Daphnia pulex: one gene and its partners. The protein of the gene in region 4 purifies or fractionates together with the protein of the main gene of each other region. This does not show direct contact. Links are inferred from orthologs where the notes say so. Each region holds a gene or a part of one and is shown on either strand. Other genes may lie near its edges. The genes, in order: U4/U6 small nuclear ribonucleoprotein Prp3-like, probable small nuclear ribonucleoprotein E, U4/U6.U5 tri-snRNP-associated protein 2-like, CD2 antigen cytoplasmic tail-binding protein 2 homolog, small nuclear ribonucleoprotein Sm D1-like, U4/U6.U5 tri-snRNP-associated protein 1-like and small nuclear ribonucleoprotein F.

What was found.
Region 1: the proteins of CD2 antigen cytoplasmic tail-binding protein 2 homolog (region 4) and U4/U6 small nuclear ribonucleoprotein Prp3-like purify together in Homo sapiens (affinity purification with mass spectrometry; 3 studies listed by BioGRID and IntAct, with this or other methods). This does not show direct contact. The link is inferred for Daphnia pulex from reciprocal best matches to the Homo sapiens genes CD2BP2 and PRPF3.
Region 2: the proteins of CD2 antigen cytoplasmic tail-binding protein 2 homolog (region 4) and probable small nuclear ribonucleoprotein E purify together in Homo sapiens (affinity purification with mass spectrometry; 3 studies listed by BioGRID and IntAct, counting the BioPlex papers as one, with this or other methods). This does not show direct contact. The link is inferred for Daphnia pulex from reciprocal best matches to the Homo sapiens genes CD2BP2 and SNRPE.
Region 3: the proteins of CD2 antigen cytoplasmic tail-binding protein 2 homolog (region 4) and U4/U6.U5 tri-snRNP-associated protein 2-like purify together in Homo sapiens (affinity purification with mass spectrometry; 5 studies listed by BioGRID and IntAct, with this or other methods). This does not show direct contact. The link is inferred for Daphnia pulex from reciprocal best matches to the Homo sapiens genes CD2BP2 and USP39.
Region 5: the proteins of CD2 antigen cytoplasmic tail-binding protein 2 homolog (region 4) and small nuclear ribonucleoprotein Sm D1-like purify together in Homo sapiens (affinity purification with mass spectrometry; 3 studies listed by BioGRID and IntAct, counting the BioPlex papers as one, with this or other methods). This does not show direct contact. The link is inferred for Daphnia pulex from reciprocal best matches to the Homo sapiens genes CD2BP2 and SNRPD1.
Region 6: the proteins of CD2 antigen cytoplasmic tail-binding protein 2 homolog (region 4) and U4/U6.U5 tri-snRNP-associated protein 1-like purify together in Homo sapiens (affinity purification with mass spectrometry; 4 studies listed by BioGRID and IntAct, with this or other methods). This does not show direct contact. The link is inferred for Daphnia pulex from reciprocal best matches to the Homo sapiens genes CD2BP2 and SART1.
Region 7: the proteins of CD2 antigen cytoplasmic tail-binding protein 2 homolog (region 4) and small nuclear ribonucleoprotein F purify together in Homo sapiens (affinity purification with mass spectrometry; 4 studies listed by BioGRID and IntAct, counting the BioPlex papers as one, with this or other methods). This does not show direct contact. The link is inferred for Daphnia pulex from reciprocal best matches to the Homo sapiens genes CD2BP2 and SNRPF.

What each region holds. Positions count from the first base shown.
Region 1 is NC_060024.1:10,558,570-10,562,576, reverse strand, and holds U4/U6 small nuclear ribonucleoprotein Prp3-like, read left to right. Parts: upstream 1-1,207; 5' UTR 1,208-1,226; exon of another isoform or gene 1,227-1,272; intron 1,273-1,388; 5' UTR 1,389-1,471; intron 1,472-1,654; 5' UTR 1,655-1,691; coding exon 1,692-3,458; 3' UTR 3,459-3,563; downstream 3,564-4,007. Other genes in the region: zinc transporter ZIP3-like, read right to left, coding at 3,663-3,772, 3,904-4,007. UniProt on the Homo sapiens protein: Plays a role in pre-mRNA splicing as component of the U4/U6-U5 tri-snRNP complex that is involved in spliceosome assembly, and as component of the precatalytic spliceosome (spliceosome B complex).
Region 2 is NC_060026.1:14,103,919-14,106,258, forward strand, and holds probable small nuclear ribonucleoprotein E, read right to left. Parts: upstream 1,189-2,340; 5' UTR 1,064-1,188; coding exon 1,016-1,063; intron 936-1,015; coding exon 767-935; intron 708-766; coding exon 640-707; 3' UTR 501-639; downstream 1-500. Other genes in the region: serine-rich adhesin for platelets-like, read left to right, coding at 1-105. UniProt on the Homo sapiens protein: Plays a role in pre-mRNA splicing as a core component of the spliceosomal U1, U2, U4 and U5 small nuclear ribonucleoproteins (snRNPs), the building blocks of the spliceosome.
Region 3 is NC_060025.1:1,778,991-1,783,171, forward strand, and holds U4/U6.U5 tri-snRNP-associated protein 2-like, read left to right. Parts: upstream 1-1,487; 5' UTR 1,488-1,618; coding exon 1,619-1,694; intron 1,695-1,774; coding exon 1,775-1,921; intron 1,922-1,981; coding exon 1,982-2,271; intron 2,272-2,328; coding exon 2,329-2,554; intron 2,555-2,622; coding exon 2,623-2,909; intron 2,910-2,977; coding exon 2,978-3,168; intron 3,169-3,228; coding exon 3,229-3,364; intron 3,365-3,428; coding exon 3,429-3,515; intron 3,516-3,576; coding exon 3,577-3,624; 3' UTR 3,625-3,681; downstream 3,682-4,181. Other genes in the region: uncharacterized protein LOC124202306, read right to left, coding at 38-185, 256-335, 410-540, 631-682.
Region 4 is NC_060022.1:6,690,472-6,693,664, forward strand, and holds CD2 antigen cytoplasmic tail-binding protein 2 homolog, read right to left. Parts: upstream 1,788-3,193; 5' UTR 1,706-1,787; coding exon 1,558-1,705; intron 1,494-1,557; coding exon 700-1,493; intron 635-699; coding exon 533-634; 3' UTR 501-532; downstream 1-500. Other genes in the region: 28S ribosomal protein S29, mitochondrial-like, read right to left, coding at 1,851-2,051, 2,111-2,203, 2,267-2,408, 2,463-2,623, 2,725-2,861, 2,932-3,024, 3,098-3,193. UniProt on the Homo sapiens protein: Involved in pre-mRNA splicing as component of the U5 snRNP complex that is involved in spliceosome assembly.
Region 5 is NC_060020.1:8,496,612-8,499,464, forward strand, and holds small nuclear ribonucleoprotein Sm D1-like, read right to left. Parts: upstream 1,532-2,853; 5' UTR 1,383-1,531; coding exon 1,369-1,382; intron 1,182-1,368; coding exon 1,105-1,181; intron 942-1,104; coding exon 741-941; intron 683-740; coding exon 597-682; 3' UTR 501-596; downstream 1-500. Other genes in the region: GPALPP motifs-containing protein 1-like, read left to right, coding at 1,964-2,437, 2,525-2,695, 2,764-2,853. UniProt on the Homo sapiens protein: Plays a role in pre-mRNA splicing as a core component of the spliceosomal U1, U2, U4 and U5 small nuclear ribonucleoproteins (snRNPs), the building blocks of the spliceosome.
Region 6 is NC_060026.1:10,447,417-10,451,656, reverse strand, and holds the start of U4/U6.U5 tri-snRNP-associated protein 1-like, read right to left. Parts: upstream 2,801-4,240; 5' UTR 2,775-2,800; intron 2,674-2,774; 5' UTR 2,472-2,673; intron 2,391-2,471; exon of another isoform or gene 2,368-2,390; 5' UTR 2,355-2,367; coding exon 2,189-2,354; intron 2,134-2,188; coding exon 1,963-2,133; intron 1,906-1,962; coding exon 1,580-1,905; intron 1,516-1,579; coding exon 1,254-1,515; intron 1,196-1,253; coding exon 896-1,195; intron 831-895; coding exon 547-830; intron 474-546; coding exon 311-473; intron 237-310; coding exon 62-236; intron 1-61. UniProt on the Homo sapiens protein: Plays a role in mRNA splicing as a component of the U4/U6-U5 tri-snRNP, one of the building blocks of the spliceosome. May also bind to DNA.
Region 7 is NC_060019.1:9,593,662-9,596,393, reverse strand, and holds small nuclear ribonucleoprotein F, read right to left. Parts: upstream 1,352-2,732; 5' UTR 1,211-1,351; coding exon 1,205-1,210; intron 1,126-1,204; coding exon 997-1,125; intron 878-996; coding exon 746-877; 3' UTR 737-745; exon of another isoform or gene 695-736; intron 683-694; 3' UTR 501-682; downstream 1-500. Other genes in the region: phospholipid-transporting ATPase VD-like, read left to right, coding at 2,404-2,707. UniProt on the Homo sapiens protein: Plays a role in pre-mRNA splicing as a core component of the spliceosomal U1, U2, U4 and U5 small nuclear ribonucleoproteins (snRNPs), the building blocks of the spliceosome.

The DNA of each region.
Region 1 (4,007 bases), on a different chromosome or scaffold from region 4:
AAATTCTTAGATGAATAGCAAATCTTTTAAATTGCAAAAACCAATTTTTTTTTTTTTTACAACAAGCTACATCAAAGATTTCAATTTTTTATGAGAAACTCAAAATATGTTTCTTGGGTTATGATTTTGGCATTTGCAATTATTGCTACTAATCATTCAGTTTCTTCTCGACGTACACGTAATCCTTTTTGGTTTCGAATACCCTCAGAGCTCCCCGATTCCAACCAACTAATTTTTTTTTTTCCGTGAGCAACCTCATCCTTTCCTTTTTCCCCTCCCTCTTGTAATACACAAAATAGCTGTGCGTCGAATAAACATGATTCTCATTTTCTTCCCCTTTCTATTTGTAGCGTACACAGCAAGGTTATTGCTCTCTCTGGATGGGATTGTTGTGGGATTTGGATTGCATTGGATTTGGATTTCATTGGAATGGATTTGGATGGATGCATTGTGGATTGATAGGTGACAGGATCTGGAGGATATGCTGGAAACAGCAACCGCTTCTCCTTTGTCTACAACCGTCGTGGTGAATCGCTGTGGACTTGCCTTGTCAGGACCCGTTTATTTTAAAGAGATCTGTTGGACTCCGGCACTTTGGAATTGAGCCCGACCTAAGACAAGAGTTAACTTAGGATTGCTTACCCTTTGATTTTCAGGCACTTTTTTCATCATCATACAGAGAAAGAAGAAACCGACGGATGACGACAAAATGGAAATAATACATGCCTTGCAAATGGTGATATTTCCTTGGAGTACAAAGAAATTCCTTCGATGTTTACCGATACTTCTGTTTTCGGCACATTGGAAACAGTATTACCATTTTAATGACAATTTTTTTATGTATGATACGATTTAATACAACCAGTGAAATGCTTTTGAAAAAAAAATTATGACCAAAATTATTCTGTTCTCTAGACTAAAACAAAAATTTGATGACGTGTTTAAAATACAAAGTTGCTTTTCGTCTTAAACACAGAAAGAACAATTAAAACAATTCGCATTACGATTACTCACCATAGAAACTTAACGTAGAAACTGTTTCAGAGAAAAAAAATAGGTTTTTGTTTAGTTTTGATTTCTTTCTAAATTTATATCTCCTTGTCCTTGGAACCAAAAATGAGAAACAAAAATGCTTTGAACTTGAGCGCTTGCTTCTTCTTTTTCTTTTTACGAAAGTCCCAGTACTTCCTTAAGATTCCTCTAGATGGCGTCTTCGCGTTGCTTGGGTAACCAAAAACGTATAAAAACGTACAAATTTTCCCCCAAAATAGTGTAATTACACATTCACTTTGAGCATACTCAAAAAAACATATAGTTTGAAATTATATATTTGTACAGCGTTTTGAGTTTATCATCTGAATTTCTACGATTTTTCTGTGCATCAATAGGCTCTTATCGGTTGTTAACCGGTCTCTAAACAGAGCAAGTTTAGACCTGCAGTTACGAACTACAGTGGAAGATTGAAGCATTGGTAAGAATAATTTTGTTTTTTCTTCAATAAACCGATGATTTTATTTCACAATACATTCGTCATTTGTCATAGATTAAACATTGTTAGAAGATATTTTCAGTACGTTGAAAATTGTCACTATAATAACATTGTAGCAGAATGTTTCTCTTCAGTAAACAACAACTTTTCTTTCTTTTTTTTTAGGCATCTGTGATATAGGTTTTTTGGGGTATTTCCAATCATGGCTACTACAAGCATAAAAAGACCTAAAGAAGAAGATTCACTCGATGGACCTGGTCGAGAAGCAAAAAAGTTAAAATCACGATTCCAGGATGACAGCAATGGAGATGGAAAGAGTGACCAGGATACTACTGAACAACTCTCTTCTTCTCAGATTAGAGAAATGATGATGAATGCTCAAAAGATGATTGAGGAAAGGAAACGATCTCTCAATCAACCGCCAGCTCTTCTCAAGACTACCCCAGTGCTCTCATCACTTCCAACACCTGTAGCTCCTAAAGCCGTTCCCCCATCTTCAATGGATGAGCGTGCCAGAAAGATTGCTGAACTACAGGCTCAAATTCAGTCAAAACTAGCCACCTCCACTTTAGCCACATTGAACTTGAGTCTTCCTAAAACAGCCAGTGTCCCTGCATCAACAGGGGAAGGGTCTAATAATGAGCCGAAACCTGGCCCACTTATTCTCAACGCTGATGGAAGGACAGTTGATGCGACTGGTAAAGAGATTGCCTTGGCCCAATACACACCAACTCTCAAGGCAAACATTCGTGCCAAAAAACGCGAGGTGCTCAAGACTCACATGGGCAAAGGATCTCAACAACAAAGCGAGGAAGCGGGAAATTTGACGGAAAGTCGCTTCTTCGATCCACGTGTTGCAGCCAAATCCTCCGTGAGAACACGCAGAACCTTCCACTTTCACGAGCAGGGCAAATTTCAGCAAGTGGCATCTCGAATGCGAATGAAGGCTCAGTTAGACAAATTGCAAAGCGAAATCTCTCAAATTGCCCGTAAGACTGGCATCAATTCAGTCACTGCACTTGCTCTAGTTGCCCCACGAGTTGGCGATCGTCAGGAGGAGGAGGACATTGATTTGGAATGGTGGGACTCGGTCATCTTGCAAACACGAAGCTACGAAGGCGAAGACGGACAGCCCAATTTACGCCAGGAGACGATTACCAATTTAATCGAACATCCCATCCAAATGCGTGCTCCCACCGACCCGCTGGCCTTGCCCTATTTGCCCGTCTTTCTCACCGAGAAAGAGCGCAAGAAGTTGCGCCGCACCACTCGACGTGAAAATTGGAAGGAGAAACAAGAAAATATCCGTTTGGGACTGGAACCGCCACCTCAAGCAAAAGTTCGAATTTCTAATTTGATGCGCGTGTTGGGCAACGAAGCCATCCAGGATCCAACCAAAATTGAAGCTCACGTCCGCGAGCAAATGGCCAAACGACTTCAAAATCACCAGGAGGCAAATGCCTCTCGAAAGTTGACGGCTGACCAGCGACGCGAAAAGAAGGAGAAAAAGCTCCAAGAAGACACGACAACGAGCGGTGTGCATGTGGCGATTTACCGGATCAAGGATTTGTCCAATTTATCCAAGAAATTCAAAATCGAGACCAATGCCAAGCAGCTTTACATGACGGGATGCGCAGTCATTTTCAAGGACGTTAACGTCGTTATAGTCGAAGGAGGCCCTAAACAGCAGAAGAAGTACAAACGCTTGATGCTCAATCGCATTCGGTGGGAAGAGGACGCCGTCAAGGTTAGCAAACACGACACTGGTTCATCCTCCCAGCCCGAAACGCGGAATTCCTGCCAGCTCGTTTGGGAAGGCACGACCAAACAACGCAATTTTGGTGACCTCATCTTCAAACTTTGCCCATCGGAGGTTGTGGCTCGAGAACATTTTCGCAAACACGGCGTCGAACACTACTGGGACCTGTCTTATTCCACAGCAGTGCTGGAAGAAACTGAAGAAAAGTGATCGGTTTCATTCTGCCATCAACTTTAACTCTTTATTTTTTTCTTTTCATTTTTGAACCAAACGTTCATCTTTGAATATTACCATCAATAAAAAGATTTGTCTTTATTTCTTTTTTTTTTCTTTTTTTGTGTACAAAAACGGGGAATGTTATACAGGTCTTCGCAGGAACATGACAGAATATATCCTTTGACGCTGGGCAGCTTTTCAGGCACTCGGTGAATAGAAGGTGTAACGTGGTGTCGTGACGGGTTGCAAAACAAACGATAATCCGACAGTTGTTTGTGTTTGGTGATCTGTTGTTGGTTCTCCGTGACCTATGACGCAGCATAAGGAAAAAGGTGGTATTTATTAGACTAGTTCGTGATTGTCATTTCTAACAGATTTTTTAATAGTTTCCTTTTCAGCGAAATTGAATTTAGAATTTTTTTAAAAGGAGGAAACTAACCGCCCAAGGCTTCAAGTGATGACAGGAGGACAAAGCCGACGAAAACGGATAAAAGCTTAATTAATCCATTGCCGGATTTCCTTCGCTCGCGTTCCAACACTTCG
Region 2 (2,340 bases), on a different chromosome or scaffold from region 4:
GATTCGTCGTCCAACCCGTCACCCTCGCCTTCGGGCTGCGGTTCTAGACACAATAGCAATTCCAGTTTGAATTGCAACAGCTTCTCTGTTATCGAAGTGTCATAATAAATTGATAATTATGTATGTGTAATTATTTTAAACACTACTTTATTTTTAGGGTCTGAAATTTTGCTAGTTTTCACTCTTTGCTATGTTGTACACCCCCCACCTAACAGGCTGATATCATTGATACTTTTATTGATTTTATACTTGTACCTTCTATTTTAAGTGGTTACACAATGTTGTGCAATAGGTTATTTTTATTATTGTAGTCCACATGAAATGACTTGTTTTCAAAACATGATTATTCTTGTCATTGTGTAAATTATTCTCTTGCCGGAGACATTTTTCATGTGTAAAAGTGGCTAGGCTTCATCAAAATAAATATTGGAAAATATTACTAGGGAAATTTATATAAAACTAAAAAATAATAAATAGATGTTGAGAATGAAATATTCAAGTGTGGTTGTAGCATCATGTTTTTCTTATCAGTCAGCACATCAAGATTGGATGTACACAAAATCAGTTCCCCGTTAATCAAAGGTAATACACGACAGAACACAAATTGGGAATGCATTCTGACCAATTAATATAGGAAGATTAGTCGTCTCCACTTCCTGCAGCATTTTGGATTAGAGTAATGTTGTCACCTTTCAGCAACACCCGTCCTAAAATAAAACAGCATTTAGAAGACAGAATAATTGTGAGTAAATGAAAACGTCATTACCAATCTGTTTTCTGACATTTGTTTTGACGTAGACTTCCTCTGCATCATCGAGAACAATGTTCATGTACTCATCAAATCCAACAATGTGTCCTTCCATGTGCATGTTGATGTTCTCATAAAGCCAAATGTCTACTCTTGATCTTGTCTGAAGGTATCTGAAAATCAAGTTCTGGAAAAAGACATTTTTGACACACGTGCCGGTTAATAAATCTTCGTGCTGAAATCGAAGTGATAGTGGTGAAAACTTACGATGGGTTGAACCATCACTTTCTGGACTTTAGGTGCTCGGGCTGCCATTTATCTTGAATTGATATTTAATTGATTCCACACGGGAAAATTATCAAATTTCTAAATGAGAGTTGTTTGAGTTTACACTTTTTGTTGAAGAAGAAACGAACACAGACGCTCAATTGCCAACAACGTTGCCAGATATTTATTTCCTCGTAGGGATTTTCCGATATTTTTCAAAAAGACAAGGGCGGCAAAGGCAAGCAGGCAAAGCAGCCAAGCAGCCAAGCCAGAGTAACAGAATATTACTTTTTTTATGCTGGCATCCCGTTCCGGTTTGCGAGGTTCCCGTAGGAAATAATATCAATTAAAAATTTAAAAAAGCAAAAGTAAAGTAAACATGAAATTCAAAATTAATTACATGAATCTATCGGTATGGTGAATGGGAGGGGGGACGGGCTTCGCCTGCCACCCCCGCCCCCCCCCTCTTGCTTCGTTAATCGCTTAAATTACTGTTATACTTTTACATTAAATAGTATCAATCAAACAAGGCCTATCGGAACATCAAAAAATATCTGTGAATCATAAGGGGTGCGACTTAGGTGTGGCGGAGGCTTCGCCCCGCCACCCCACGTCGCACTCTCTTTTTAGCTTAAGTAACAGCAAAATTTATTATTTTCATAAGCAATATGAAATAAAAAATAATTAGTTATAGTTACAGATAAATCTGTAAACAGTTAGAACAAACCAAACCACAACACCCACCCTCTCTTACGCTTCGTTTAAGTTATTTCGATATTTTTACTTGAAATCGTATACTAATAAAAAATAATACATATCGAAATCAATTAAAACATATCGAAACATTCAAAAGTTATGTCAAACATTCAAACATTGGGGTGTGACTTAGGTGTGTGCTGTGGCGGAGGCTCTAGGCCGCCTAGAGCCTAGATAGATGCCAGTTAACTTTTACTTTTGGTCGCTAGAGCCTAGATGCCAGTTTCTACGCGCGCAGTTCAAACTGTTTTTCATTTTCGAGGCGCGCAGTTCAAACCGTTTTCCAATTTCTACGCGCGCAGTTCAAAATTCCAAAAAGCCATCTATTGGCGAAATTTGAACTAATCCTCCCGTATGCCAAAAAACCTGTAGAATTAATATATTTTTCTATTACTCTGCTGACTGGGCCTGTGGGCTGTGGCCTTGTGGCGTGTGGCCGTTCTGCGCCGATCTGCCGTTCCTTTCCTTACAACAACTGATGCTTGCTGCTTGGAAAAATTCACAGAATCACAGCTAATACTGCTAATACTTTTCATTTAATGTCAACTTTTGGGCTGTTCTCGCCTTGG
Region 3 (4,181 bases), on a different chromosome or scaffold from region 4:
TTATTTCTGTTACGAGCGGGAAATAAATGAAACCTACATTGTTGATGCCGCAATCAGATTCAAAGAAAATGACAGTGTCAGTGTTGCTAAGAGTAGCGTCCCCAACACGGTGAATTGTTTCCAAACCAGTAGCCAAGCCATCGTGCAAAAAGACACCGCCATTTACGCCGGGGTAAGCATCCCATCTATTTAGGAAATTTCAGAAAATTCATATTTACTAAAAATAAAGTTGATTGTCAATTTTTCCCGTCATACGTAAAGCTAAAATCGCCATCTGGAAGCTGAATACGGTCGTATCCTAGCAGGACTATCTGCTCGCGAACTAAAGCCAAAACCTAAAATATAAAATGTTTTTAAAAAGACAAAATTCAGTAAATCAAAGAACGAAATTGAATTATATTACAAATACCTCGTCCATGTATTCATTGGCATTTCCTGCTTCCCCACTTCGAGCACGATTCATCAAATGTTCAGAGGCCGGAAAGGAAAGACGAAGAAGCGGCTCGCCTTTTCCAGAAACGGGGCGTCGAATTCCAGCACCTACCAAAAGTAATGACAAAATTAAAAATTATGGTCGTTAGAAATTTAGAATCAACCCAATCAAGGAACGAGTAACAAATATGAGCAAACCATTGGAAAGGGTAAAAAGGCAGAGCAAAGCGAAAATGCCAACCACTTTCATGACGAACGAACACAATTTCAGTTTAAAGTTAAAGAAAGAAACCGTGTCCTTTTGAGAAACAGAAAATGCAAACTGCACACGACCAATTTATACAAAAATTATTGGTCTATCAATGATTGGGCAATCGATCACTTCTTGATTAGAAAGTGATATAAATGGGTTTTTCAAAGATTATGATTGTGACATCGAACTTGATTTGACTAATCTGATAATCCGTATTGCGTGCTAAAATCAAAGGGCAAACAAAATTACCCAATGATTATATTTTTGTACACCTTCGAAGGACGAACTTATACAAAAAAAAACATTCTATTGAAAATGAATTACGAAATTCTAATTCACCAATTGCTTAGTTGATTTTTAGAAACCCGGAAATTGCTTGTTTCCGGGTTTATGGTTCAAGTAAGCAATTTGTATCCAGGCAGAAAAAATCTACACTATGCTGAACATCATTATCTGAACCATGAATATCGCTTTCAAAATATAGACTTCTGTTGACATAAGTTAATCAAGGTAAACAGAGTTCTGATAATACATCCAAACAAATTCGAGACAAACTCTAAACTTTGAGATGATTACACAACACCCAAGACCCAACAGCGTTACCAGACACAAAATAAGGGTTTTTTAGTTAGTTATCAGGATAGTAATTCAAACGATAAAAAATAGTAGCCCCATCTTGTACAAATAATTATTTACTTGACGCATGACCATGATAATCAAACGAAATTTTGAATCGCGTTACAAGATTTGAATGAAGTAGTTCACGCCATCTACAGGACAATAATTCTACTTTTTCGTTTACCGGCATTAACGCGTTGCATTCGTTTTATGTGTCTGCTATCCTTTCCGTAACTCTGCATTCGAGTTTCCTTAATTCTTAAACAATAAGAAAAGCTGTCAATTTTGGCTCTTGGGGTAAATATCTTTTCAAAAATGGGGACGGAAAAGAGTGATATAAAGCGCAAACATGAAGATTTCGATGATGAAGACGAACCCGTCGTGAAAACAAGTATTGTTGTCACTATCCACAAAACCAAATAATAAATATAGTGCAATCCGTGTAACAACTTTTACTGATAAAAATTCTAGGAGAACCAATTGCCAAATCTCGTTTGTGTCCTTATTTGGACACAATAAACAGGACAGTTTTGGATTTTGATTTTGAAAAACTCTGTTCAGTCTCGCTCACAAGGATTAATGTCTATGCATGTTTGGTGTGTGGGAAATACTTTCAAGGTAAATTTGAAGTTAAACAGCAATATTCACATATTTTAAATTGTTTCAAATGAATTCTAGGAAGAGGCCCCAGCACACATGCATATCTTCACAGTGTGGGAGAGGGACATCATGTTTTTTTGAACCTTCACACCCTAAGATTCTATTGTCTGCCAGACAACTATGAAATCATTGATTCATCACTCGATGATATCAAATATGTCTTGAATCCAACATTCAAAAAAGCAAATATTGCAGTGTTGGATGTCATTGATAAAGTATCTAGGTCTTGTGATGGTACTCTTTACCGTCCTGGAGTAGTTGGACTCAATAACATCAAAGCTAATGATTACTGCAATGTAGTCCTACAGGTAATGAAGTAGTAAACTATAAATTAAAATAATAAACTTTACTTACTTTTGTATTAGGCTTTATCTCATGTTGTTCCACTACGCGATTACTTTCTCAGGGAAGAGAACTACATTGGTATCAAGCGTCCTCCTGGAGACAATAACGTCATCTTAGTTCAGCGTTTTGGTGAATTGATTCGTAAGCTTTGGAATCCACGCAACTTTAAGGCTCACGTTTCCCCCCACGAGATGCTCCAGGCTGTCGTTCTGTGCAGTAAAAAGAAATTCCAAATTACAAGCCAGGGTAATATTAAATTATGAGAATTGTTATTAAAATTTTACCTTGCTAATTCTTCATTTTCCATATTTCAGGTGATCCAGTGGAATTTCTTTCGTGGTTTTTAAACGCGTTGCATCTGGCATTAAACGGTACCAAGAAGCCAACTTCTTCAATCATCTACAAATCTTTTTTGGGAGCAATGAAAATTCATTCTCAGCGAATCCCACCCATCGATGCCACTGATACAGAAAAGGATGCACTGATGTTGACTGCCGAATACGTCGAAACATTTGTCGATTCGCCTTTCCTTTTTCTGGCAGCCGACTTGCCTCCCCCTCCTCTGTTCAAAGATGAATTTCGCGAAAACATCATTCCACAGGTTTGCCAAAATCAATTAGCTTGTAGCATTAATTAAAAGCTAGATCGAGTCTTTTGTTGATTTTTCAGGTATCTCTGTTTGCATTGCTGTCTCAATTCAATGGAGTCCAGCAAAAGGAATACAAGACCTACAAGGAAAATTTTTTGAAGAGATTCGAATTGACAAAACTGCCACGTTACATTATTCTCAACATCAAGAGATTCACGAAGAACACGTTTTTCATAGAAAAGAATCCCACCATCATAAACTTCCCCATCAGGTAAATAAAATTACCACACCATTTTTTGTTGACTGTTACAAAATTGAGATGTGCTTTTAGGGGTGTGGATTTTGGCGATATTCTAGGTGCAGATGTTCGCGCCAAACACGGATGTACCACATACGATCTGTTAGCCAATATTGTACATGATGGAGAACCAACCAAGGGAACTTATCGTGTTCACATACTTCATAAGGTAAATTCGTTTTATTGTTGACCAATAATCACAATAAACTTCACGAGTCAATTGCTTCTATTAGGCGACAGGAAAATGGTTTGAAATGCAAGATCTGCACGTGACAGAAATTCTTCCGCAGATGATCACTCTCACAGAAGCTTACATTCAGGTAGAAAAAAAAATACAATAAAACGTTATTATGTCCCATTTAAAATGTTCAAACATTTTAGATATGGGAACAATCTACGGAAAGAAGCGACGTTGAAATGTCCAACTGAAATTTCTGTCAAAAGTGTAAAACCCGAGTTGAAATAAATATTCAAATTCGTACTAAAGCATTAATGTGAGACTTCTTATTGGATTGAATAAAATTAACACACCACGTCGCGAGGAAAACGAACCATGTTTGATTACACAAGATGCAATAATACACAACTTATTTCGTTTTTTTTTGTTTCATTTATCTTGCTCCAAACGATGTTGTGTGGCAAAACAGGGAAAAAGGAGTGATTTGTTTAATTAAGAGAGAAGAAGTGGGTTTGAGAATGCAGAGCAAAATAAAGAAATCTTGAAACAAACACGTAAGAGACAACCCCCAAAGAGGACAGAAGGGATGAAAAAATAAAGGGTCGTAGTGAAAAATTAGATTCACACCGCGCAATCAAATTGTCCTTCATGAATTCCGCTCGTTTGCTACTCTTTTTCCCTTACATACACTCGCACAAAGTTTCTTCAAAAATCAGACCAGCATTCGATCGAATTCAAATAGCTTATTTTTTTGCGGTGAGCAGCGGTGGGGTGATTTTTATTTTATGCTACAAAAAATTGGAAAACG
Region 4 (3,193 bases):
CATAATCTAACGGGGGAAATTTAATGGAAATTTGTTTGTTTATTTCCGAAGGAAAGCGTCGACTTTCAATTCCCATGCAACTATACGTATATAAAGTACTCTAAAATGGTTTCTCTTGTTTTTGAATAACTAACTATACACGTTATATGTAATCAATTAGACGGCTATGTTTGGTTCACAGATGGTTCACATTATTTGTTAACGTTACGTTATCGAAAATTAAAGCTTTCGATTTTTGCTTGTATTTTACGCTGAATCGTGGTGAACCGGTAGATCTTGGTATTAAATCAATATACATGATACATGAATAGTGATGATAACCCGTGCCACTAACACATTGCAACCCGGTAGTACCGTAAACCGGTAGGGCACCGTTTAATTGTTAAAATGAAGATGTTTACTGAAGTAACTAAACTAAAGAATAAAAATGTCTGATATCTTGATCAAGTTGCTGAAAAATAATTAATTAAATAGCGTCTCATGCTCTCATCATTAGGTAATAAAAGTGAAAGGACATGTATTATTATACGAATCAAAGGTATAGATCAAAATCGATTCGCCGTGAGGTATAGAAATCTCCTGGTTGTCCGACACGGCGAACCCAAACACCCGATTCAAAGTATCCTTGGTTTACCTATAAATATGTGGTATATTAGAACAATAATTAGCCAAAGTAACACTAATAATCATATAACAAACCCAGTCAAGCATCTCTGATGTGCTATGCGGTCCGTGTATTTCTGCATCTTCTTCTTGTTTCCATTTGAATTCCCATTGTACAGTTTCTGGTTTTACTTCGTCTTCTTTAGCTTGACCTTCGCCTTCATCAAACCGAACCTTCTTGGTAATGGGTTCTCCTTGGACTGACTCCGATTCCCGTTTATTGGAGTCAGCTTTATTTTTTTCATCGAACATATCTCCAAACATATCGAGATCATTTGTCGATTGCGTCACAGGTTCTTCTGATTTTTTAATCTTGAAACGTATCCCTTCAAAAGTTTCTTGATAAACATCCATGTTTCCCATATTAGAAAGAATGCTATTCGCATGTTCAGTTAATTTGGCTATGTTTTCCTTATTCAATTCATTTGTTTGGTGGTCTCCTTCGTCTTGCTGCTTTTTCTTTTTCTTCCATCGCTCAGATGCTGTTTGAACTTTACCACCTCCTAATCTTTTCAAAGCTTTTAGAACTGTTTCACCAGGTAAAAGTATGGCCAGCATTTCTTTATATACAGGAATGGGATCAAATTTCTTCAAGTAATCATTTGTATCCATACTTTCTTCATCTGATGGATTTTTGTTGGAAGCTGCTTGAGAATTCACTTTAACCCAATCTATGTTGTCCAGCCAATGGTCTTTCACTTCATCTTTCTCCCGCTTTCCAAAAATGTATGTCCCTTCTTTATCGAAGTGCCCTTCTTCCATTTCTTCTTTCATGTTAAATGGTGTAATCTGAACTTCTCCATCAAATTCTTGGGTAGGGTCCTCTTGGCCTGTTGGGACAGTAGAAATGAATTGTGGATAATTTCTTCGAAACTGATATTTTATTTCTATTACCTTCTATATCATCTTCTCGCATCATCTCATACTTTTCAGTTTTTTCATCATCTTCACCACTGTCATCTCCGTCAGAAAAATCTCCTTGGTCGACATTTCCTGTTTCTAACGTGTCTTCTTCTAATTCCTGGTGTTTCCTTTTCGGCATTTTCTTTGATAAAACTCGAATTGATTATTCTAGGATAAAGGAGACAAACAGATTTAAAGAACGCGTCTTCTCGATGTATTTTTAAATAAATGATTTCGGACTAAGAATTATTTGACTTTTATTTTTATTGTTAATAATCATCCAATCAATATGGAGCAACAAGTCTCATTAAACTGTATGGATGCTTGCCACTAGTAAAACTCAGTTCAGCTCGTCCATTGTCCGTGCGGGCTTTCGGTTGCTGAAGCCAATTTCGTTCAATGTAATAGTCGATTTGCGAACGAAATTCTTTGTCATTATAGTTCTGTACTTCGATCGGGACGAAAGGATCTAGATGTTCGAAACCCTAGATGGATGGCAACGGAGTTGTTTAATTTGTTGTATGAATACCATAAATTGAAATACTGTTTTTCCAAGAAGATATCTAGGCAGAGGTGATTCACGCAGTTCCGGAGGATGAGCCGATGGATCAACTGATACTACGACGGCTCCGTTATTCTAAATTCAACCCATATTTTGAAATCAAATAACATTCCAATAATCACTATTTATGTTTTATACCCAATCATTTCTTGTAAGAGACAATAATGCATCCGTTAGCAAAAAGTCTGAGGGTAAAACCATGGATTTGTCTTCCCTGATCACGTTCGATTTCCGTGAAAAGAAAGAATTAAATCCATCGATAACCACGAGAACGCGGCATCTGCGTAAGATAACCGTGGTTTAATATGATTCAAAATTGCATTATGAAACGTACTGTTTGCTTGAAGCGGCTTTTTTAAGTTCATCTAACAAAGCAACAATACAACCAGTTGCATATTTGGCCCTGTTGAGACCCAAATCTATCAATTCACTCAGAGGAGATCCTTCAGCAGTCACTTCTCGTTTACTCCAAGTGTAGGTGTTACTTGTCTTCAGCTGTTATTTTAAGTTCAGAAAACCCATAATGAGTACACATAGAAAAGCATTGGCTTAAAACTACTGAATACAAAAAGAACATATAAATATGTTTATATCACCTCTAATTTATCCAACAGATGTCCATTCTGTGTGCTAAAATGCTTTAACCATTCTACTGCTTCAATTGGTTGATCATACTTATTTGCATGAACTGATGAAGGAGTGGCAACCTTCACGTATTGAAACCATTTGGGAACTAAAAATCAGTTGAATAGGATGGTATTATTAGCACAAAATATTTAGTAATAATCTTCCTTAGTTCTTACCCCACGGAACATGAACTAAAACAAATCCAGCACTGCTACCATAATGGACAATATGAGCTAGAGAAAGAGATTTTCCAACTCCAGTCTTTCCATCTGCAATAAATGGTGTAATACTTATAAAGGGTTTGTTAACATTATTAAAGGCATGAAAAAAAAGGTAACTTACACAGCACATATCTAAGAACTGGAGCATCAAAATTTGTTTTGTTCAGATAATGTATAAGCTCAATTGCAGGCTTTCTTACCATAATACACAATCCAT
Region 5 (2,853 bases), on a different chromosome or scaffold from region 4:
TAGAAAATTAGGAGCAGATATCGCCGAAAGCCTCTTAAACGCAAATACCTCTTAAACTGAAGTTACAAAAGCAAATAAAACTTGTAGCCACGACTGTTCTTAAACATGTCAAGTTTTCCTTAAATTTGCGACATTCTTAATTTAAATTAAAGTTTAATGGTTTAGTCACAAAAAATTGAATAGTTTTAGTCTAAATTTAATAGAAAAGTAATTTAACTTTCATTTCCATCAAACTTTCATTACTTATTACACCGCTCTTTACACTTGTTTTTTCCCCGACTCCTCTGACAAAATGGCAAGAATAGTCAATATTCTTGAAATAAGCAAGGAAACGTTATGCGATGTCCGCTTATAAATCAAGAAAAGGAATTGACGGTTCTCTACAAATTATCTATGCTTACATGGGAGTCAATTGGAATTGATAAATAATTCTCATACAGACTCAACTGTGGGGAAAAAAGTGTTTGTTTTAAGGACTTTTCAACTGACCAAAAAACATATAAGACAATGACAATTTGTAATGCAAATGAAAACTGATTCCACATTTGCTGAAAAGAACGAAAAAAAAAATGGAAAATCGTTGGAAATTACAAATTTCAGCGTCGAGGACCAGTAGCACCACGTCCACGTCCTCGTCCACGTCCTCCTCTGACAGCTCCGCGTCCACGGCCTCTTCCACGAGCTAAAAAAAGAAAAGAAAATGAAAAGAGGAACACAGTGATAAGGGGAAAAAAGTTTACCTCTACCGCTAGCATCCTTCTTCTTGGCCTTGGCTTTCGGAGAATCATCCAATAGTAAGGTTTCAAGAGGAAGTGAATCAGGTAAAATGTAGTACCGGATGTTGTTTCCTCTAATACTCAAAGTTTCAAGCTGAACAGGGTCTCTGTTTTTAACTGTCATTTTCACAGCTTTTAAATGAGTGTTCATAGCAACATCAACTCCTATAAAACATAATCAAATGAATGAATTTAGTAATATACAAAACGGAAAACTTTTCTTCTAAAATGTCACTTATGTGTTTGCAATTTCACTAAGTTTTCGAAGAAAGTATTTAAGGATTGCAGTAAAATAAAAAATCGAATAAAGACAACAAAATTGAATTACCTGTTATTGTTCCATGAACCTGAGTACCATTTTTTAATTCAATAATGACTGTTTCGTGGCTCAGTTTCATCAAAAACCTAAGGATTATACAAAATAATGGTATTTATTTCAATTGAAAGCAGTGAACTATTTAAGTTGTGAAATATAGAAACGGCATAGTTTCCCAGACGCATCCAACAACCGGCTTAATACCCAGACCAAACCGATTTTTGTGGCTACTTTCTGTACGAATTTACTTGACAATGAACATATTCCGAAACTTACCTCACTAATTTCATTTTTGATAAACTTGTTGTTTGATGGCTGTAATAAAGTAAATCACCATATACGACTTATTGAATGTTTTAATCCTTAGTTTAGTGAAACGCACGAGGTACGCTAGTCAAAAACCAAAACTGCTTGTTGGAAGCATAACTTATACTAAAAAGGCCCTGTGACATTTCATATTTCATAACGGTCGATGACTATGATTTTTGTACTTGTAACGTAGCGCCATCTACGCAAATATTTTGAATTTTGTTATTAGACAAGGTTTATTTTTGCATATTTTAATCAAAAATTAACTAATAATAATTTTTTTTTATTATTTTAAATTTATTTATCAAAATAAATTCATAAATCCAGAAGCATTATCGAAGCGTATCATAGAACCGCATAGAACACAAGTGGCATGACATGAGTGACAATAAAACGTACTCCAAAACAGAAAACACATGAGACAGGCCTGCATACTATAACAGCATTTCCAGTAAGCTAAACATTGGGTTTCGGTTTCACCTATTTTCGATTTTTTAAAAATAATTCTTTGTCGGTAACGCATTCTCAATTTCCCGCGTGGTTTTAATTTTTCCCTCTCAAAATGTCTCGAATCGGACCAACATTACCTCCTCATCTTCAAACAGCGTATGAAAATGATGATTCAGATTCTGATGAAGGTGATCTCTACGGACCAGCACTTCCCGCTCATTTAAAATCACAGAAAGTGTCCAGCAAGTTAGTGCAATCAAATATCTCCAATGACAGAGGATGCTCTGTTAATCATGAAGTTGACTCTTCATCAGATGATGAAGTTATTGGACCACTGCCAGCTGATTGTATGGATGCTGAACATAGTTCATCAGTTGACATTGAACAGCGGGCTCTTAAGATGAAGAGGAAGTTGCTTGGTGTGGATGATGATGAAGCCAACAAGCAACCAAAAAGAGAAGATTGGATGATTGAGCTTCCAGAACTGAAAAGGAAAAACTTTGGCCTGGGACCTCGTGTCTTTAATCGTTCTGACAAACCTGAGGTTGTAGGGAGAGATCAATGGACTTCAACACCAACTTCCAAGGTTCAGATAGTACAATAGATACACATATAATGAAATTTTCTTAGCTGGTCATTGCTAATTTCTATAATTTAATTAATATAATTTTAGCAGCCTAGTACATCCAAAGAAAAAGATGAGGATTTTGAAGCTGAAATGAGGAAACAATACTTGGAACAAAAAAGGAATAAGAAGCTTGAGAAAATTGTGGCCATGCATGATAAATCCAAGAAGAGGTCAGAGAGTTTGTTGAAGACACATCAAAAGGAAATGAAAAGCAAGGTAATCCTACATTTTTATTTTTGCTGTTAAAGTTGGGGTAATTTGAAGTAAGATTTTTGTTTCTATAGAAAGACAACTCGTCCGGTCCTAAAGAAAGAAAACCTTTTGATCGTGATGAAGATTTAAAACTGAATCAACTCGATAATGCAAAGCGGAAA
Region 6 (4,240 bases), on a different chromosome or scaffold from region 4:
AATAACAAAATAAAATAAGAATAACTGAATATCGTATAAACAAAACACAAAATAATTGTACGCTGCTTTATCTTCTATGGTGTAGCGCTGCGCCTGCAGCTCTTGGGCGGACTTAGAAATAACTATCCTCTTCTTCTCTTCTTTCTCCAGATAGCCTTTGCTCATAGCCAATTTCAAAGCTGCAGCCATTCCCGAGCCGACATCAGGTTCCTCGTCCAGGATAACAGTAGCGTTATCTATTTTACAGAGAGAAAAGAAAAAAATGCAAACACTGACAACAATAAAAGTGACGAGAACACAGTATACATACCCTTTTCATTACGATCGACATCCATGCTGTCGTCGGAACCTTGATCGTTTTCACGTTCCAGAACATTCCATCCACCGCGTTCTTGAAGACGCTCAGCCTCCCTTTTTCGCTCTTCTTTTTCTTGATTTCTTCTGCGTTCTTCTGCCAACTGTCGCTCGAAATCCTATTGCCAAAACAGAAACGCAATTAATTAAAGTCAAAACCAAAAAAAAAAAAACATTCATGCAATGAATTACCATTAACTCATCTTCGTCTTCATCACGATTGCCTGCCATACCATAGGTTGGTATGTCACCAAGAGTACGACAGAATTCTGCTGTGGCATTCAGTATGATACTACTCTTCAGAGGATCCTCTTCCATACCTTCCGTTTCTTCCAAAGGCTCGCGTTTTAATGACCGCGTAATCATGTTCATGTCCCACTGATCAGCCTTCCTTTCTTTTAGTTTATTAGCTTTTAATAGTGCCTGACGTATTTCTTTTTGGGATTCGTCTACAGTAATCTTGAATCCGCTTAAATCTGGCGTTGGATAAACAAGACATAATAAGTAATAATAAAACAATATACTAGTCAAACTAAAATACCTTCTGTGACCTCTTCATCCATTCTCTTCTTTCGAGATCTCGATCCCAAGTCTGACGAAGTTGTTTCTTGCGTTTCTTGAATAAGATCGTCAGCTTTTAAAATGCCGTCGCCTTTGGATCGAACCTTTTTGACGCGACGTTTAACTTTTTTGAAGGAAACCATTTCTTCTGCTGTATAATATTCAGATGCAATTTGGAGCGGTCGCGATTCCAGTGATTCAATTTTCTTCTGTTGCATTTTGAGTTTGTCTTTCATCAACTTTTGGGCTTTCATTTTGGCTTCTTCATCTCCAATTTTACCTAGAATTTTAACATAAATATTTTTGTAAAGATCAACAAAACAAATCTAATATTTTACCTAGGACAAAGCTATCATGTTTTTCTCCTTCTATTTCTGTGTCATATTTAGCAAGCAAGAGCTTTGGTTTGGGAAGGCCCAATTCATCAACTTCTTCCTCTTCATAGGGCTGATATCCCGGTCTCTGTTTCTTGATTTCATTGTTCTTTTTGTAGCGTTCTATATCAACAAGGTTGACATTCACCAAAACATCCCCTTCCTCTTGCAAGATGTTTTGATCTTTAAGAGTCAATACTACTTCTTTCCCTTCAGCTATCATTTCCTAACAAAATAAAGCAACATCAACACAGGTATTCAAATAAAAGTATACGTTGTCGGTGACTTACCCGGTCATGTTCTACTTTTATTCCTCGTAAGTCTCTACTTGTGTATGCTTTTGCTTTTTGTTTAATCAGTTCAGTAGTTACCATATCTCCTACACCAAATGCTTCATCCATTTCTTCAAGCATTTTTGCTCTTTTATTAGCTTCTTCCTTTTCTTTCTGAATCCTTCTTGATTTTTCAACCCAGCTAACAGCATTGTCATCATCATCAGCTGTTGTATGAGCAAGAGTGCGCACTTGTGCAAGCTTTTGTTCTATTTGCCTCTTTTCTCGTCTTTCATCTAGTTTTCGTCTCAACTCTTCTGTGGCTTTCTTTTCACGGAGGTTCTCTAGAGAAATACCACATTTAAATTGTACAAGTAAAGACATTTAAATGAAATCATTACCTGCTGGGACATGAACATCCTTTTTCTCAGTACTGGCTTCAACATTTGAATTTTCTCCTCCAATCTCCAATGGCTTCAAACCAAGTTCAGCTCTTATTCTGTTGGTTTCCTCAATCGAAATGGAAGTATCATTGGTTGAATTAGCAACTGGTCTTTCATCATTCCCTTTTCCTTAAAAAAAATTATTGGTTACTAGTTACTAATAAACATAATTTTGAATACATACCTGTCAACAGTTCTTCGCTCTGAATGTTGAGACTTATATCTTCCTTTATTTGTTTGGATTTGACGGAGGCATAACTTTTTGAATGTGATCTTGACGGAGACCTAGATGGGGAACGATGTCTTCTTTTTCGAAAATTATTATGATCGCGACTTTCTTTTCGGTCCATGTCTCCTTAAGAACTGAAAGAAAGTAGTTTAACTTAGGTGGGAAGTTTTGATTTCTTTAAACATAAAATTTTTTTCAATAGAATTCCTTAAAATATCAAACAATAAAAGTAGGGTACCAGAATCTGTATTCACTTAATGATCTTGCAACAATTTTACTTCAGAACTTGAGAACTGAGAAGCAGACTTCAGCTTTTGCAATATTTATTTTGATGCCGTTGGGTGTTGGTAAATTGCTAAATGCGGGATTGGAAAGCGGGGACAAATACAAATCCATTGATTCCGCAACAGATGGCGTGTTAATCCTCCTATTGAATAAAACTTAAAAAAAGAAAACAGAAGATAAATTTATCCGTAAATCAATAAAGGAAAAACATAATGAAAACATTAAGGCCAGTATAGTTTTTAACTATTTGTTTTACATGTGAAGACTTGTGCGGCAAAACCAAAAGTCCAAAACGAACAATGTCGTTGTCGATTTTTGTTTATACTAAGGGTTCCAAGATTCCGCACCAGGTTCGCTAGTGAGGTAGGCTGATCGCCTCAAAGACTATAGATGTTATTCCAATGAAAAAGTAGTAGTCGAACAAAAAGTCCTGCGCAGTTTACGCCGATGCGCACCACTGCGGCCGATAGCAGAACCAGAGCAATAGATGCCTGGTCGGTTCTCGGCTGTGTTGGCTTCCCTATCCCGGTTTTAGGGTAAACGTATCCCCGATTTTCAGACATTTTAGGGCGGAGCTTGTCAGAATTGTGAAGTAGAAACTGGAAACAGAGCCATCTAGGCTCTCAAAAGTAGCTAAGCGTAGTAGCTGACACACTCACTAGAGCGCTCATTCCAGTTTCCAAATCGGACCACGTTTACCCTGAATATAGGGTCTGTTGGGGTGACCACCCCCTCTCGATTTTCGCAGCGCTAGGTGGCTTATAGGATGAAGCCCGGCATGGCCGAAAAACGAAGAAATTTTTAGAAATTTTTTCAAAAATTTCAATCGTTAATATCTCGGCTTCTGAGCCGAGCATCGAAAAAACATGAAAATTGTTTGAAGAGGTGGGCTATCCCATCATTATGAAACAATTCGAATATTTCCAGGTGCAGCAGTTGACGAGAAAACTGCTGCACAAAAAACGAAAAAAATTCCAAATTTCGGCTACCCCCTCTCAGTTTTTTTAAAAAAATCTCCCAAATTACAAAAGCTAGGCGATTGCGGTTTTCAGCAATCGACTTAGCGAAAAATTTTGCACAAAACCCATCTATTTGTTAATTTTTAGAACCCCTAGCGACGATTTCCGCTAAATCAAAAACGGCCTCTTTGAGTGGCGAATCGCTTGTTGAATCGTTAGGAATATTGCTCAATTCCAGTTCGAAGTTGCCTAATTCCAGTTACGACAAAAACAGCAAGATAGAGTTGCATTTTGGTTCGGAGAAATAAACTGGTAATACTGTGTTGTTTTTTGGTGGTATATCTTCGTTCCATCCAAATATTTCTCTGTGCAGAGTGACTGGCAAGTTCGATTCAAGAACATACAACAACATCCTCAAAGAACATATTCTTCCTTTTTGCAAGATGAAATCAACTAGACATATTGGTGTAGTACATGACTGGTAATCTTATTTTCACATTACAAATTAAATTTCTTGTGTGTGTATGTTACCGAATATTGTTATCAACTGTTTATAGGTTCCCGGTTAACCGCAGCAAAGCTGCTATGAAATTTGTTACTGAACCAGAGGGTAACATTGTCATTCTTGATTTGCCTAAATAATTCGGGGACGCCATACCCGTTGAAACTGTTTGACTGAAAATGATCAATGAGTTCACTCGCGGATTTGTGACGGCTACTAGTGAAGAAGGTTTATTGTGAGAGGATTCTATGATTTGGCAAA
Region 7 (2,732 bases), on a different chromosome or scaffold from region 4:
TAAATGTGATCCTGACAGTAACGTTTTAATCTTCGTTGTCTAGTTAGGAACGTACATTTGTACAATGTTTATTATTTGTTTCAAACCGTAGTAATTCATCTCGGAGTTCAACAGCCTATAACTCCCCTAACGTTCAAACGACAGTGATAACTTGCGCATGCTTACCGTCCTATAGTGTTAACAGCCGTGTTACATGCAGGCCAATTGAAACGTATTGAACAATTAATATTCATAAGCAATTAGGTATTCTTATGACATCAGCTGGTACCAGCGTGAGCCAATCGGAAAAGGTGTTTCCGGATTTGTTTGCCTTTTTGATTTATACCTTACAAAATATATTTACGAACAAGTTGGTGTAAGTGGAAAAGAAATGTGACTTGAGTTTTACGAGCATGCGGGACTGCGGGCTGCCTACTAACTTCATTCATAAGGTAGCTTAACCATTTTCCATTTAGACAAAGCCTTTATTTTCCGACTAAATGGAAAAAATCGCCGGAACGTAAGAAATTCCAGTATACTTAACATTAAATCACCAATACGGTAGACAACGGTTCTGTGTTTGGAATTTGGATACTGAAAAGCTGTTTTTTTACTTGTTTGTCCTTCGTTGTCTGTGGGAATCTTGTAATGTATACACCAGAACATATTTTTTAGGGTTTCCAGGTTTCCTATACAATAACTTCTATGAGATAGATAGGAAATGACATTATGTATTAAAGGATGAAAAATTCAATACAAACAGCAATCAATCTCTCATTTCTCCCTCCTCATCATCTTCTTCCACTCCACGTATGTAAAGTACATTGTTGCACCTGACAAGAACTTCACCCAAGTTTCCAGTACAGCTTCCATCAATATATTCTTCTGTGTTTGCCAACTGTGATAATATAAGAAGAATTATTGCCATTGTTCATATATGCACACTGTTTCGTGCAACAGCATGTTTTCATTTTTTTACTGATGAAAATGCACTACATGGTATAATTATTACAGTACCTGAAGATTCATGTATCCATCAACTGAAACGAGATAACCTTTGTATTCATGGCCCCACTTCAGTTTTACCATAATCGGTTTGCCGGTTAAGGCATTGAGAAAGGGTTTGGGATTGATGGGCATGGGTGCCTGAAAATATGAAATATAACATGTTAGTAAATGGTCGGCTAAAAAGGACCACCCAACAAGATTTAGGTTTTGAACTTACTGCCATGATTTGTATTTGTTTTAGTCAACGATTTTACAAAATTTGATTGAATGTTTGACAAGCGAGTCAAGCCGCGTTATTTCAGTTTACACGTTCTGTAACGTAAAGATCAGAAGTAAGGGTTGCCAAGTCGTCTTATTAAGTACATCAAATTTTGAGAAAGTTTTTCCATTTTGTAGGAAAGAAATTTACATATTTAAACCTAATAACTAGTGAACTAAAATTACCTTATAAAATAGGATTATTTAAATAATTTTTTGATGTAATGTAATGAGATATCCATCGTAGAGCAACGATCCCGGATCTCTGGTTCCGGACCAAAAACTCACGTCACCTATTCTGTTTTCAATCATAATAGCTGGAAAAATTTACAACCAAAGGAGAATTTTTTTTTATGTATCGTTATTAAGTGATTTTGTTTAATAAGTGACTCGTGGTCGTGGATATGAAAAGTCTTTTTAACAAATTGGCAAGAACAGAGAAGCTTCACAACCAGAATTAGCGCTCTCTAAAAAGTAATAAAAGAGGGTTTTGCGTTTCGCGGAATTAAAAAGATAGGAATTTATCACAGTTTGTCTTGATACAGAAAGACTTTTTAGGTTCAATTTTACATTTTGGAAGCTTTTAAACGGTCAACAAACCGGTTTCTTATTTCACTCCGGTGTCCATTCCGCGCAATTTCCTTTATTATCGGTTACCGAGTGTAAAATCTGGCAGTAAAGCTTGTACGGTGTATGCAGCAGAGGCTGAAAGCAGTGCACAGCTGGAATTTGCCGTTATATACGTGGACACACAACAAGTTGCTCAGTTGCTGACACTAAACTCTATCTTACCATTCTTTCATCTTTTTGCACTTTTTTTAAAGTTGACGTCACTTTCCAACCGATTGTTTTTCTTCCATTTCCTCACTGGGTTCCATCATTGGACCAAATAAACGAACAATCGTTCCACTGTTAAGACGATTTGTTGATTTTAGTCTGCCATGGACATTTTTTGAAAACAAAAGCTGACTTGTCTTTTTCAGCAATATTGAAATAAGATGTTTGGTGAGTAAATAACTCTCCCTTTTCCATTGCTCAGAAGTTTGTGTTGATTTTGAGTTGGTTGTTGGTAGTCACAAGCTTGACAGTTAGTTTCGTGAATGGTTAAAGAAATTCAATTGTAATTGAATTTGGTACTCTCTCATTTTCAGGGACGGTATGGATTTTGATTCACCGGGTACCACCTACATTTTTCCTGATGTGATGCAACCCCCAATAGAGCTTGAAACTGTCAACCCCCTGCCAAGCAGGGGTTGGCCGGGTGGAGTTAAGGGACATGTTCGCTCTGCAAGTCATGGTGTCATCGGAGTTTCCTTATTGAATCCAACATTACATCCACAGCCCTCTTCGCCATCCCCTGCAATTGGATTATTGGAGGCAGCTTCAGGATTGAATAAAGGGGAAAGATCTTCACAAGATGCTTCTTCTGCCAATCCAACAGTTTTAAAACTTCCTTATACAGGTATTTTTAAGGTTTCAGCACTCTT